Mus musculus: one gene and its partners. The protein of the gene in region 1 interacts with the protein of each later gene in a pairwise test. Links are inferred from orthologs where the notes say so. Each region holds a gene or a part of one and is shown in the gene's direction. Other genes may lie near its edges. The genes, in order: Hdac6, Erbb4 and Erbb2.

Region 1 (3,650 bases):
ACAAAGAAAGGCTGATGTTGCCGGTAAGGGGTGAGCAGCTATGGGGGTGAGGGGCGGAGATGGGACAAGAGCAGACATGCTCCCTAGCACTTTTGCCTATCTGTGTGTATGCGTGATTCCATCCACTCCTGCAGCTTCCCTGAAAGCCCTGAGCGGCTCCATGCCATCAGAGAGCAACTGATCCTGGAGGGCCTCCTGGGCCGCTGTGTGTCCTTTCAGGTGACTCCTCCACAGCCTTCGGATGGTGGGTGCGGGCCTGCGAGGACCTAGGCCTGGCCTGGCTTCTAGCCCCCCTTTTTTTTCCTTGTGCCTCCCCAGGCCCGGTTCGCTGAGAAGGAGGAGCTGATGTTGGTTCACAGGTGAAAACTTAGGAGCTTGGTAGGGTGGGGAGGAGGATACCCAGGCTCAACCAGGACAGACTGAAGGAATCCCATAGACTCTGTGGCCAGCCTTGGGCACGTCCCTGAGCCTCTCTGAATATGTTATTGCTTTAAACAAAAAACAAAAAACAAAAACAAAAAAAAAACACAAACCCCTAAGTTCCAGACAAGTATGATGGTACATGTCATCACTTGGGACATGAAGACAAGCGAATCAGGAAATCAAGACAGCCTCAGCGACATAGCAGGTTTAACTTGGGTTTATGAGACCCTGTCTGAAAAAGCCAATCCCGAAAGAAAAAGAAATCTTAAGTCCTTCAGGAGGGTCAGTGTGTGTATCAGGTACCTGACAGCATCTTAAGCCTGTGAAGGGCTCGTGTTATTATAATCTGGTTCGTTAACTGATGGCAGATACTTGCCAGAATGATCAGAATGAGTCCTGGGGGAGTCTAGAAACTCAAAGGAAGAGGCCTGGTACAATGTGGCTCACAGAATAACTAGCCTCGCAGAGAGAATATCTGAGCTGAGTTCCAAGAGGCAAAAAGGTGGGTGAGTCCAGCAAAGAGAAGGGCAGAGGAAAGGGAGAATCAACAGAACTCTTAACTATCTAGTCAGAGGCCTAGAATTTCAAGTTAATGGCTGTCTCGAGGAACTAAATATATAACTAGAGATGGGAGAGGCTAGAGAAGAAAAAGGGACTACAGCCTGCACCCCAGCTGAACCCCCTAGGTTGACTATGGAGGCCCGACTTAATGCGAGGTCTGTCTGCGGAGGGACCAGGGCTGTAAAATCTTTCCTCTATCTTGTGTCCCCAGCCTGGAATACATTGATCTGATGGAGACAACCCAGTACATGAATGAAGGGGAGCTTCGAGTACTGGCAGAAACCTATGATTCAGTGTATCTGCATCCGGTATGGATGAGAACTGTGGGGTCAGGGTGTGGCAGCAAGTCTTGGGTGTCTACCGTATCCATGCCAACCTCACTGTGGGAATGAAGAGCTAAATAGTTAGGGCCATGCTTTCTCTCTCTCTCTAACTCTTTCTCTCTGGTTTTCCACGGTCCCCAGAACTCATATTCCTGTGCCTGCCTGGCTACAGGCTCTGTCCTCCGGCTGGTAGATGCACTCATGGGGGCTGAGATTCGGAATGGCATGGCCGTCATCAGGTAGGACTCTGAAGCGTTGGGCATCTTACATTTTTTTAAAAAGCATTTCCACATAGTGGTGCGTGGAGGTGCATGTCTGTAATACCAGTACTTATGAGATGGATGTTAAAGGAATGCTCGGGGGGTTCAGGGCTAGCCTCAGCTATATAAATTTGAGGCGAGCCTGGGCTATCTAAGACACCTTCTCAAAAAAAAAAAAAAAGCCCTACAAATGTGAAATGTGTTAACTCAGGTACCCTGTCTTCAAGTGGTTGAAGAGTCAAGTGGTACAAAAAGGGGGTTCAATAAAATTCTCTCTCCTCTTTGTTGATGGACCCCTGAAAGGTGCTCATTGTCACCAGTAACTTCCGTGTCCTTCCACAGATGGTTTTACTCAGTTAGTAAGTAATAAGTATCCCAGTTCATGGCTTCAGGGACATGTATTTCTTTTCTATCTGGAACATCTTGAAATTCAGATGCAGCGAACAGTGCGTGACATCTCAAGCCTCAGCCTGTGCCTTTCACTGTTTCATTGTTGCCCATGGAAGGTCAGAACATTGGGCCACAGCTGACTTCCTAGAACTGATAAAAATGCAGAAGATAGCCTTTGTCCTCCTCAGCCCCTTTTTGTAAGCACATGACAGCACTCCTTTCCGTACCGTGCATTTAAAAAAAAAAAAACCCTTGGACATCTTTATCTTTGAAAGCTGTCTCTTAACAGTATATGGGTTACACTCGTGTGAGATGCCATTGTGCAAGCATACTTTTAAGCTAGTCACCCCCTTGCTGGTGGGAATTTTGGTTCTCTTCAGGCTTTGATAGCATACACCAGTGGTACATTTCTAAAGATAGCACTTTTTATTATATAGGTCTCAGCTAAGCCTATGTAGCAAAATGACTGGGTATTAAAGAGTATGCTTTCATACTCTTATGGATAGCTTAATTGATTTTTATTTTTTGAGACTGGAGCTTGCTATACATTCTAGGCAGGCCTTGAACTATCGATCCTCCTGCTTCAAATTCTTTCTGAGTGTTAGTATTGCGGGCATGTGCCACAATAGCAAATATGGGTGAGGGTACCTTTGGATGGTTATGTTTAAATCTCCTTGGTTGAGAGAGTGTTGGCTTGGGGGCAGTGAAGCTTCAAAAGCCACAGTTACTCAGTTGCTGGCAGACTTATAGAATCTCTCTAGGAAGAATTGGGAACACAGGAGAGTCCACCTCTGGAGAGGAAGACTCCCAAACCTGTAGCTTTCCCTTTCCTGCTTAGGCCTCCTGGACACCATGCTCAGCACAATCTTATGGATGGGTATTGCATGTTCAACCATCTGGCTGTGGCTGCCCGCTATGCGCAAAAGAAGCACCGCATTCAGAGGTTGGTAGCCAGTGACAGACGGAACGTGGGTAGCATGGAATAGGGGGTGCTGTGGTCTAGGTTGTTCCTCTGTGTTTCACTTAGCCCCCTGCACAGAGCTCCCCTCTCTCCTGCTCACAGGGTTCTCATCGTGGACTGGGATGTGCACCATGGTCAAGGAACACAGTTCATCTTCGACCAGGACCCCAGGTACATCCCATGTCTCACCCTAAGTACTGGATTCTTAACCATCAGGCCCAGCCACAGGGGCTAGGAAGCCATTTACATTCAGTTGTCCTGGAACCAGGAAGTGGATGCTTTTCCTTGTTGTCTACTGTCTCCTAATTTCACTCTAAAGCGGAAACTGTGGCCTTCCCATTTCACACATGGTCAAACAACCTTACAGGTTCCAGTGTCAGGCAGAGAAGTGAAAGATGTGGGGTTTGACTTAGTGTTGGAGAGCTTGTTCAGCAATTTACCCCTGAGCTGGAAGGGACCTCAGATTAGTGCTTTGTCTTTTTCAATTATGACAACATTTCAAACTATTCTGAAAAATTAGTCGGGTGGCAAGGTGGCTCAGCAGGTTAAAGTTCTTGCCTGACAACTAGAGTTTGATCCCCAGGACCCACATGGTGGAATGAGAGAGAAGAAACTCCTGCAGGTTGTCTTCTGACCTCCACATATACATACCATAGCATGCACGTATCCCCTCATCTGTAAAGAGTTGGGCATGCTGGAGCATATACCTTTAATCCCAGAACTTGAGAGGCC
Region 2 (3,650 bases), on another chromosome or scaffold:
CCCTTGATTTCTTCATTTCTCTTTTCTATGGATACCCATTCCTATGCATTCTGTCTTCCATATGGATTGATCCTCATGCAGACTCCTGGATGTGCTCAGTAAATTGCTCTACACCACATGTTTTCTTTGTGTTAGCTGAACAGAGAGCCACAAGGCTTTACCATAACAACAGCCACCTGCAACCATCTGAACCGATCACCTCTGCCTTTGATGAAGACGTTTCCTACCAAGAGACTAATTTAAAAATTAATCCATGTCAGGCTTTTCCTGAAATTACATTTATTTGGCATTAAACACATGCATACAGTAAAGGCATGGTATTCTGGATTTTAGTGTATGTGAAACAATTTTCATCAGTAAACATTGGCATTGCCGTTAGGTACAAATGGGAGGACTTGCTTTAAATTCTGGCATCTATTATAAATCTTTCTTGCTATGCATTAAAATCACCAAGACAATGGTGAAAGAATTCTTACTGTGACTTGTCTCCGGAAGGTTTAGCATTGGAATCCTGGCAGTGAGTGAAAGACCAGAAAGGAGCTTCTTTAAGTTTCAACTGTTTGCTTTGTAAAAGTGCATCGTGATACGTGTTCATTCAAATTGTGACAGTAATTTGCTTATGTGAGAATTGTATTTCCAACTAGGCGTCACTATATGGGAACTGATGACCTTTGGAGGAAAGCCCTATGATGGAATTCCAACCCGAGAAATCCCCGATTTACTGGAGAAAGGAGAGCGTCTGCCTCAGCCTCCCATCTGCACTATTGATGTTTACATGGTCATGGTCAAATGTAAGGCTGCAAAATCACTCTTTCTGCCTGCATTATCATTCTTAATAAATAAAAGTTTAGATTGTTTTACCTGCAAAATGTTTCTCTGAATTGTTAAATAGAGTAGCAAGAATATTTACGAATGCAGAATATAAATACATGTTGTGGTAATTACTATTATGAGGTAATAGTATGCCACTAAGTTACAAAGTAAAAATTATGTCGTTCTTACTCTTACAATTTTTCAAATTTCCATACCCTTTGAAGTTTGTCATAAAGAGAGATAATTATTCATAAGAATGTTAGTAATAATATTAATGTTAATCTTTATGGGAAAATAGCTAAACATCATTGAGAGTCTGAAAATGAATTAAAGTAGATATGGGTTTAATTAAACATAAGTTAACAGAGCAGGTTGGGAGTCAAAAGAGACGAATCCACAACGAAGTAAAGATTAAGATGTTTACTCTTTTTAATTTGGTCATTTGCTTACATCAAATGTTCTTACTTTTCTTTCCACTTCTATACTCCAGGCACATATGTATTATAAATGTGTTTTGAAAGCCTAGACCCCTAATTTTAATAGAATTAAAAAAGTCTCTGGGGTTTCTGACTTAATTTAAGTGCGATTAACTGGCAGCCATCTCTCTTGTATAATCTGAGGTTTTCCAGTTTTGATTTACACAGGGTTAAAGGAAGCCACTAAGTGGTGAAGGTGAATAAGCATTTTATTAATAAGAGACTCTGAGACTCTGGGCCCAGGTCTTCTCATATTTATATTCATGACATGTGTGATCTATTCTGACAGGAAGAGAAGGAATAAAAAATGTTCCTTGCAGTGCAGGTCAGCATGCCCTTTTCTCTAAGCATAGTTCTATTTACTCAATATTTAGTTAGGGAGAAACAAATATCTCACGCTGAAGTTAACCTTTTTTGGCTCTAGTAGCTTTGTCATTAGCATCTTGGTATTAACAAGCATTTTTTTTTTTTTGGAAACGAATACCCATAAGGTGCAGAGTGCTTGAGCTTAAGAGAGGTGACACAAAGGATGCATAAGATGATACCCAAAGGATTTCCAAAACAAGAATTAAAAATTAACTCTCCAGGAATAGAAGAATTCTGTATTAGATCAGTCCTTGTTTACTCCATGACCTGGGAGAGAGCTTAAAAACATCCCTATGTTATATGATAATTTGATCCTATAACCAGCATCAGATGTTATCTGAATACCCCAATGTGATGACGGAAAGGCAGGCAAACATTTTGCCTTATTAGACAAAGCATATACAATGTTTCACCTTTGTTTTTCTCTCTTCCCCTGGAGAGTTTATGCTTTAGAAAAGGATCATTTGGCAAGGAAATCAAAGCAAGCTGGGCGCTGTTATTCTTGTCATCTCATCAGCTAAACAGAGCATAGGCAGTTAAGATCCATTTTCTCTGAACTCCCAGCTAAAGAAGACTACCTACCTTGAAAACTAGTATTTTTATTCTGGGAAAGCTAATTCTAAGATAAATGTAATGAGGATTGTTGAACACACATTATAAATCATGTTCCATTTTCCTTCCAAACAGGAACAAACCTGCCAAAAGGAGTTGCTATCAAATTCCCCATTTTCAATCTTTTGTACTACAGTGCTATGATGAGAAGCAAATATTTCCTACCATGTACTCTTGATCTGAAACTTCATTTTCTATCTCTGCAGCCATCAAAGAATGCTTTAAGGACATTATCTTAACACTCCAAAACAAGAACAACAAAATCTGAGGTTCTAAAATTTCCCATGGTTAGCTTAAAAGCTATTTTCCAAGCTAAAAAAAAATTGAGTTTGACTCAGAATGAAAATTGGGGATCATGTAAAGATGGGTCAGCAGTTAGGAGCTTTTGTTGCTCTTGCAGAAAACACAAATTTAGCTTTCAATGCCTACGTCAGGCGATTCACAATCACCTGCAACTCCAACTTCAGGGGATCCAATGCCCTTTTCTGGCTTCTGTGTACCTGCCCTCATATGCCCATACCCACACATAGAAACAATTAAAAATAATTGAATTTAAAAAATGTTATTTATAGTATATTGCATTTTGTGACAAATGTCAATTAATTGAGTTACAGCATAGTTCACTTCTTTCTCTAGTTTTGTTTTGCATATATATATATACATATATATATATCCCCATATTTCCCCAAACTTCAACTTTACTAATTATTACATACACTAATATTTTACTGTGTATTAATCTCCAGGTTGGATGATCGATGCTGACAGCAGACCTAAATTCAAAGAACTGGCTGCTGAGTTTTCAAGAATGGCTAGAGACCCTCAAAGATACCTAGTTATTCAGGTTAGTTATTTTGATGTTGCTTTTAAGAGTCTCTAATAACAAACTCTATTTAAACTTTGCAACTTTGAAAACATCCAGCAATAAAGTGACCATGTGAAAGAACTTGTGAAGTCATGAAACTGAATATGGTTCTATATATGTCTATGAGACAAAGCAGGCTCAGAAAAGCAAATGCTATATGTTCTCTCTCATATGCATAACCCACATGCATACATATACACATATACATGGTATAGGCCACAAAACTAGGAAGAGATGATTAGAAAGGAAAAAGGTTTCAAGGGAAAGGTAAACTACAAAAGAGGCTAATAGAATACATATGACAGAGAAATGGAAAGACTATTTCAGAAGGAAAGGGCTAAACAGCCAGAGGAGAGGAGTACCAGAAGATGATAAACCAAAATAATGTATGTATGTCCTTTCTATCATAACACTATAACAAAATCTGTACGTTCATATGTTAATTTAAAAAGTACATGTGGATTGTTTTATCAGGCGAGGTGCATAGTATCTAAGCAATAACTCAATTTAAACGAATT
Region 3 (3,750 bases), on another chromosome or scaffold:
AGATTTGTAAAACAAGACCCAGAGATCGTCAGTCACTTGCCTAAGGTCTCACTGCCAGAATGTGATAGAGGGAAGATACGAACTCAGGTCTTCTAGATACCAGAGTCCCATGTTCTTTGGCCCCTAGCGTGGAAGTGTCTGCCTGAAACTGAGTTTCAGTTCAATGAAAGTAGATTAAGAGAGGGCCACCCTTCATTTCTCTCCCCCAAAGATGCCTCTGATTGCATCTTGACCAGCACAGGTGTGTTCTTTACTGGAACATTCCAAGTACCATCATCAGATGTAGCAGATAAAGAAGAAGGACGTAATGAAGTTCAATTTGAATTTCAGATAAACGACGGGCAATTCATCCTGGTAAACATGTCTCTTGCAATGTGTTCTTGGAGTTTCCAACCAAAGGCATACCTTTGTTTCCTTTCTCACCTGTTACCAGGCTTCAGGAGTGATATCTAGGTACTTCAGGGGTAAACTGGCAGGCGAAAAGGACAGGGAGAGAGAGGACGATGAATGAAACTGAGAACTGGGTAAAGTCAGAACGAAGTGGGCATGGGGTTGGAGAGATGGCTAAGCAGTTGAGAGCCTGTGCTGCTCTTGCAGAGGACCCAAGTTCTGTTTCCAGCACCAAAGTGGGTGGGCGGCACCCTGTAACTCCAGCTCTGGGGGATTCCCACTTCCTCTTCTGACCTCTGTGGGCAACAGCACTTATGTGACACCCCCCAAAACCCATATATGACCACACATAATTTGAAATAAAAATAAGTCTTAAAAAGAGAAAGAAACAGGAGAAGCTGTTCTTCCAAGGATGAACAGAGGGCTCCCGATGTGACTCGCTTCTCCTAGTTCTGTGGGTTCCTTTAAGATCAGGCAGGAGATACCCAAAAGGACAGAATTGATATCCCAGAGAGTCTTGGAAGTCACCAGTTAGACATAACACATTCCCTTCCCAGGCTGATTTTACCTGAGGATGTGGCGACAAACCATTTATCTGGTATTAAGAGTGTGATGCAAACGTTCCAAGAGTATCCAAGATAAAACCCACCCAAGACTGCAAAGAGGGGTAAAGAGATGCCCTGCTTTTAGGAAGTGGGTGAGAACTGCAAGCAAGCAAGCGAGGCGTCAGGGCACAGGGCGCGACGCACCCAGGCCTGCGCCGGGAGGGAGAAAGTGAAGCTGGGAGCAGCCACTCCCAGTCTTGCTGGAATGCAGTTGGAGGGGTGGGGGGGCGAGCCGGGAGCGCGCGGCTCCCAATCACCGGCGGCGGAGGAGGCGGAGGAGGAGGGCTGCTCGAGGAAGTGCGGCGTGAAGTTGTGGAGCTGAGATTGCCCGCCGCTGGGGACCCGGAGCCCAGGAGCGCCCCTTCCCAGGCGGCCCCTTCCGGCGCCGCGCCTGTGCCTGCCCTCGCCGCGCCCCGCGCCCGCAGCCTGGTCCAGCCTGAGCCATGGGGCCGGAGCCGCAGTGATCATCATGGAGCTGGCGGCCTGGTGCCGTTGGGGGTTCCTCCTCGCCCTCCTGTCCCCCGGAGCCGCGGGTACCCAAGGTGGGTCTTGGCTTGGGGAGGGCTCGGGCCGCTACGGCTGCGCCCACGGGCGGCCGGAGCCGCGGGGCCCCGAGAGCTCCACGGCCGGGCGGTCCGGGACGTTGGGACGATTCCGGCTACCGGCGCCGCGGCCCGGAGGAGATCGGAGCAGTTGGGGATGGGACAGTCACTCGGAGAACCACACTGGAGGTCCGGACCGGCCCCTTCTCGCTACACCGGAGCCTCCCGGGCTCCAGGAGACTCCGGGAACTCCTTGGGAAAGTTCTCTGAAACTAGTCGGAAAGTTTTCCTCCGGAGGGTGTGTGAAGCGCTGTGCGTGCGTGCGCCTGCTTCCCCCCTTTCGAGCCCCCCTCACGCTTTCTCAGAGCTCTTCCAGTTGGCAGCCTCCGCCTCCGGACCGGACTGGGCAGGATGCCTTCGGGGTCCCCTCTGCCCCTCCCCTCCCCCTTCCCACCCCCTCTGGCCCTTTGGGTTTAGTAAGTTACTCCAGCTTCCAGTGGGGTCGCCGTGGAGGGGGCGGTGGGGAAAGTAACCCATCCTGTCGAGCAGGGAGGACCGAGTGGCGGCTCCGCAGTTGAGTTGCCTATCGATAGTGTCTGGGATATGGGGGAGCAGGAGGAGGGGCAGGCATTTGTTTGCAACAGTTCTCTCTCATTCTCTCTCTCTCTCTCTCTCTCTCTCTCTCTCTCTCTCTCTCTCTCTCTCTCTCTCTCTCTCTTCTGTGCTGGGGATGGAACACCCCTACCCTCCATCCCAGTCTCGCCCGTGTTAGGCAAGCCCTCTATCACAGTGCTGCACACTCCACAGCCCTGTTTTGAACAAATTTCCTTAGAGCCAGCTTAAGTACTGTGTGCTTTGGGATTCCGGGAAGGCTCGGATCTTGAAGGGTGGTCTTGTGTTTTCCCGGCTTCCATACAATAAACTGGAAAGGGTTCCTGGGCATTTGGGGGCGGGGGGAGGGCACCGAAAAGGAGTAAGGTCAGCTAGGGGTAGACAGAGAGCTGGGTTGTTTTCTTGCCTTTATCTTCGTGTTGGGGGCTGGGAGGGTGACCCAGCAGTGTGTATACTGACCCATATGTCCAGTTCTACCATGAGCGTAAAAGCTGACAGTCACCCCGTGTGGGTCAGCTCTGCCAGGCTCCGTGGGTGGTGGCTTGCATGCATTCCTTCTACAGTACTAAGAACAACTCCACAGTGGAAACATTAGTAGCCTTCTCCTTGTCCCAGGGGGGAAACCTGGGCTGGGGAAATGAAGTATCCTGGAGTAACTGGTGGATCCCAGGCAATGTGACCAGCCACAGGATATGATATATGATTCACATAAATACGAGTCTAGCTGAGCAGTGCGGAGACACTGCTTCCGTAATCAGTGGGCTGTATTGAAGATGCAGAACACAGGTTCTGGAAACAGTAGGTGCTCTCCAGAGGCCAGCGAGCCTGGAGGCTGGTGGAGTATCACCATCTGTGCCCCCTTGCCCCCCTCTCCTGCCCCAGTTCCTGACAGCACACTGCTGTGCTCACTGTGGGATACCCCTGTGTGTCTGAGGTTTTTATGATGGTTGTGTGTTCCTCCCAGTTTCTGTTGCCAAACAGCAGTCTCTCTGCTGACTTGGGGACACAGGATGAACTCTGCCCTCTCTAGGAACTTCCTCAAGGCACTGGGCTCTATCTGTTGTAAACACTGGGAGATGCCCCTTGCCTTCTTCAGGATGGAGTCTCCTTTCAGTTTCTCAGGAGGCCAGCCTTCCTGCTGACTTTCCGTGCAGAAGAGTGAGGTTAGACCCTTCACCTGAGCTGGGTAGGGTCTGCAGTTGACCAGAAGTGGCCCTGTGCTGTAGAGCTGGAATCTGAAGGGTCTGCTCTCCAGACAGGGAGTGGAGGGCTGCTGAGCCTTCATCCCTTCAGATGCACTGCTGGATGCAGAGGGACAAGGCAGAGTTTGCCTTGCCAGGAATGGTTAAAAGGGCAGGGCACCATCAGCTGCCTCTAGCTCCAGGTTCGACCCCAGAACTGGTCTTGGGCAGGTGTGTAGGGGAAAGGAGATCTGGGGAGACCCAGAGGATCAAGCTGTTGCTGGGTTCCTCAGTACTAAAGGTTTTGTGAAATGCAGTAAACACAGGTCTTTAACTTGGCAGGGGTCATTCCTATTTCAATTCTAGTCTGAGTCTCTCCAGGCCCTTCCTACCTTTTGTTATACATACGGGGACTAAATA

Evidence for each region.
Region 2: the proteins of Hdac6 (region 1) and Erbb4 interact in a protein complementation assay, tested with the Homo sapiens proteins (2 studies listed by BioGRID and IntAct, with this or other methods). The link is inferred for Mus musculus from reciprocal best matches to the Homo sapiens genes HDAC6 and ERBB4.
Region 3: the proteins of Hdac6 (region 1) and Erbb2 interact in a protein complementation assay, tested with the Homo sapiens proteins (2 studies listed by BioGRID and IntAct, with this or other methods). The link is inferred for Mus musculus from reciprocal best matches to the Homo sapiens genes HDAC6 and ERBB2.

Annotation. Positions count from the first base shown.
Region 1 is NC_000086.7:7,941,283-7,944,932, reverse strand, and holds part of Hdac6 (histone deacetylase 6), read left to right. Parts: intron 1-134; coding exon 135-219; intron 220-318; coding exon 319-359; coding exon of another isoform or gene 360-363; intron 364-1,195; coding exon 1,196-1,292; intron 1,293-1,448; coding exon 1,449-1,546; intron 1,547-2,795; coding exon 2,796-2,900; intron 2,901-3,020; coding exon 3,021-3,089; intron 3,090-3,650.
Region 2 is NC_000067.6:68,072,559-68,076,208, reverse strand, and holds part of Erbb4 (receptor tyrosine-protein kinase erbB-4 precursor), read left to right. Parts: intron 1-644; coding exon 645-791; intron 792-3,013; coding exon 3,014-3,111; intron 3,112-3,650. UniProt on the Homo sapiens protein: Tyrosine-protein kinase that plays an essential role as cell surface receptor for neuregulins and EGF family members and regulates development of the heart, the central nervous system and the mammary gland, gene transcription, cell proliferation, differentiation, migration and apoptosis.
Region 3 is NC_000077.6:98,411,199-98,414,948, forward strand, and holds the start of Erbb2 (receptor tyrosine-protein kinase erbB-2 precursor), read left to right. Parts: upstream 1-1,285; 5' UTR 1,286-1,464; coding exon 1,465-1,537; intron 1,538-3,750. UniProt on the Homo sapiens protein: Protein tyrosine kinase that is part of several cell surface receptor complexes, but that apparently needs a coreceptor for ligand binding. Essential component of a neuregulin-receptor complex, although neuregulins do not interact with it alone.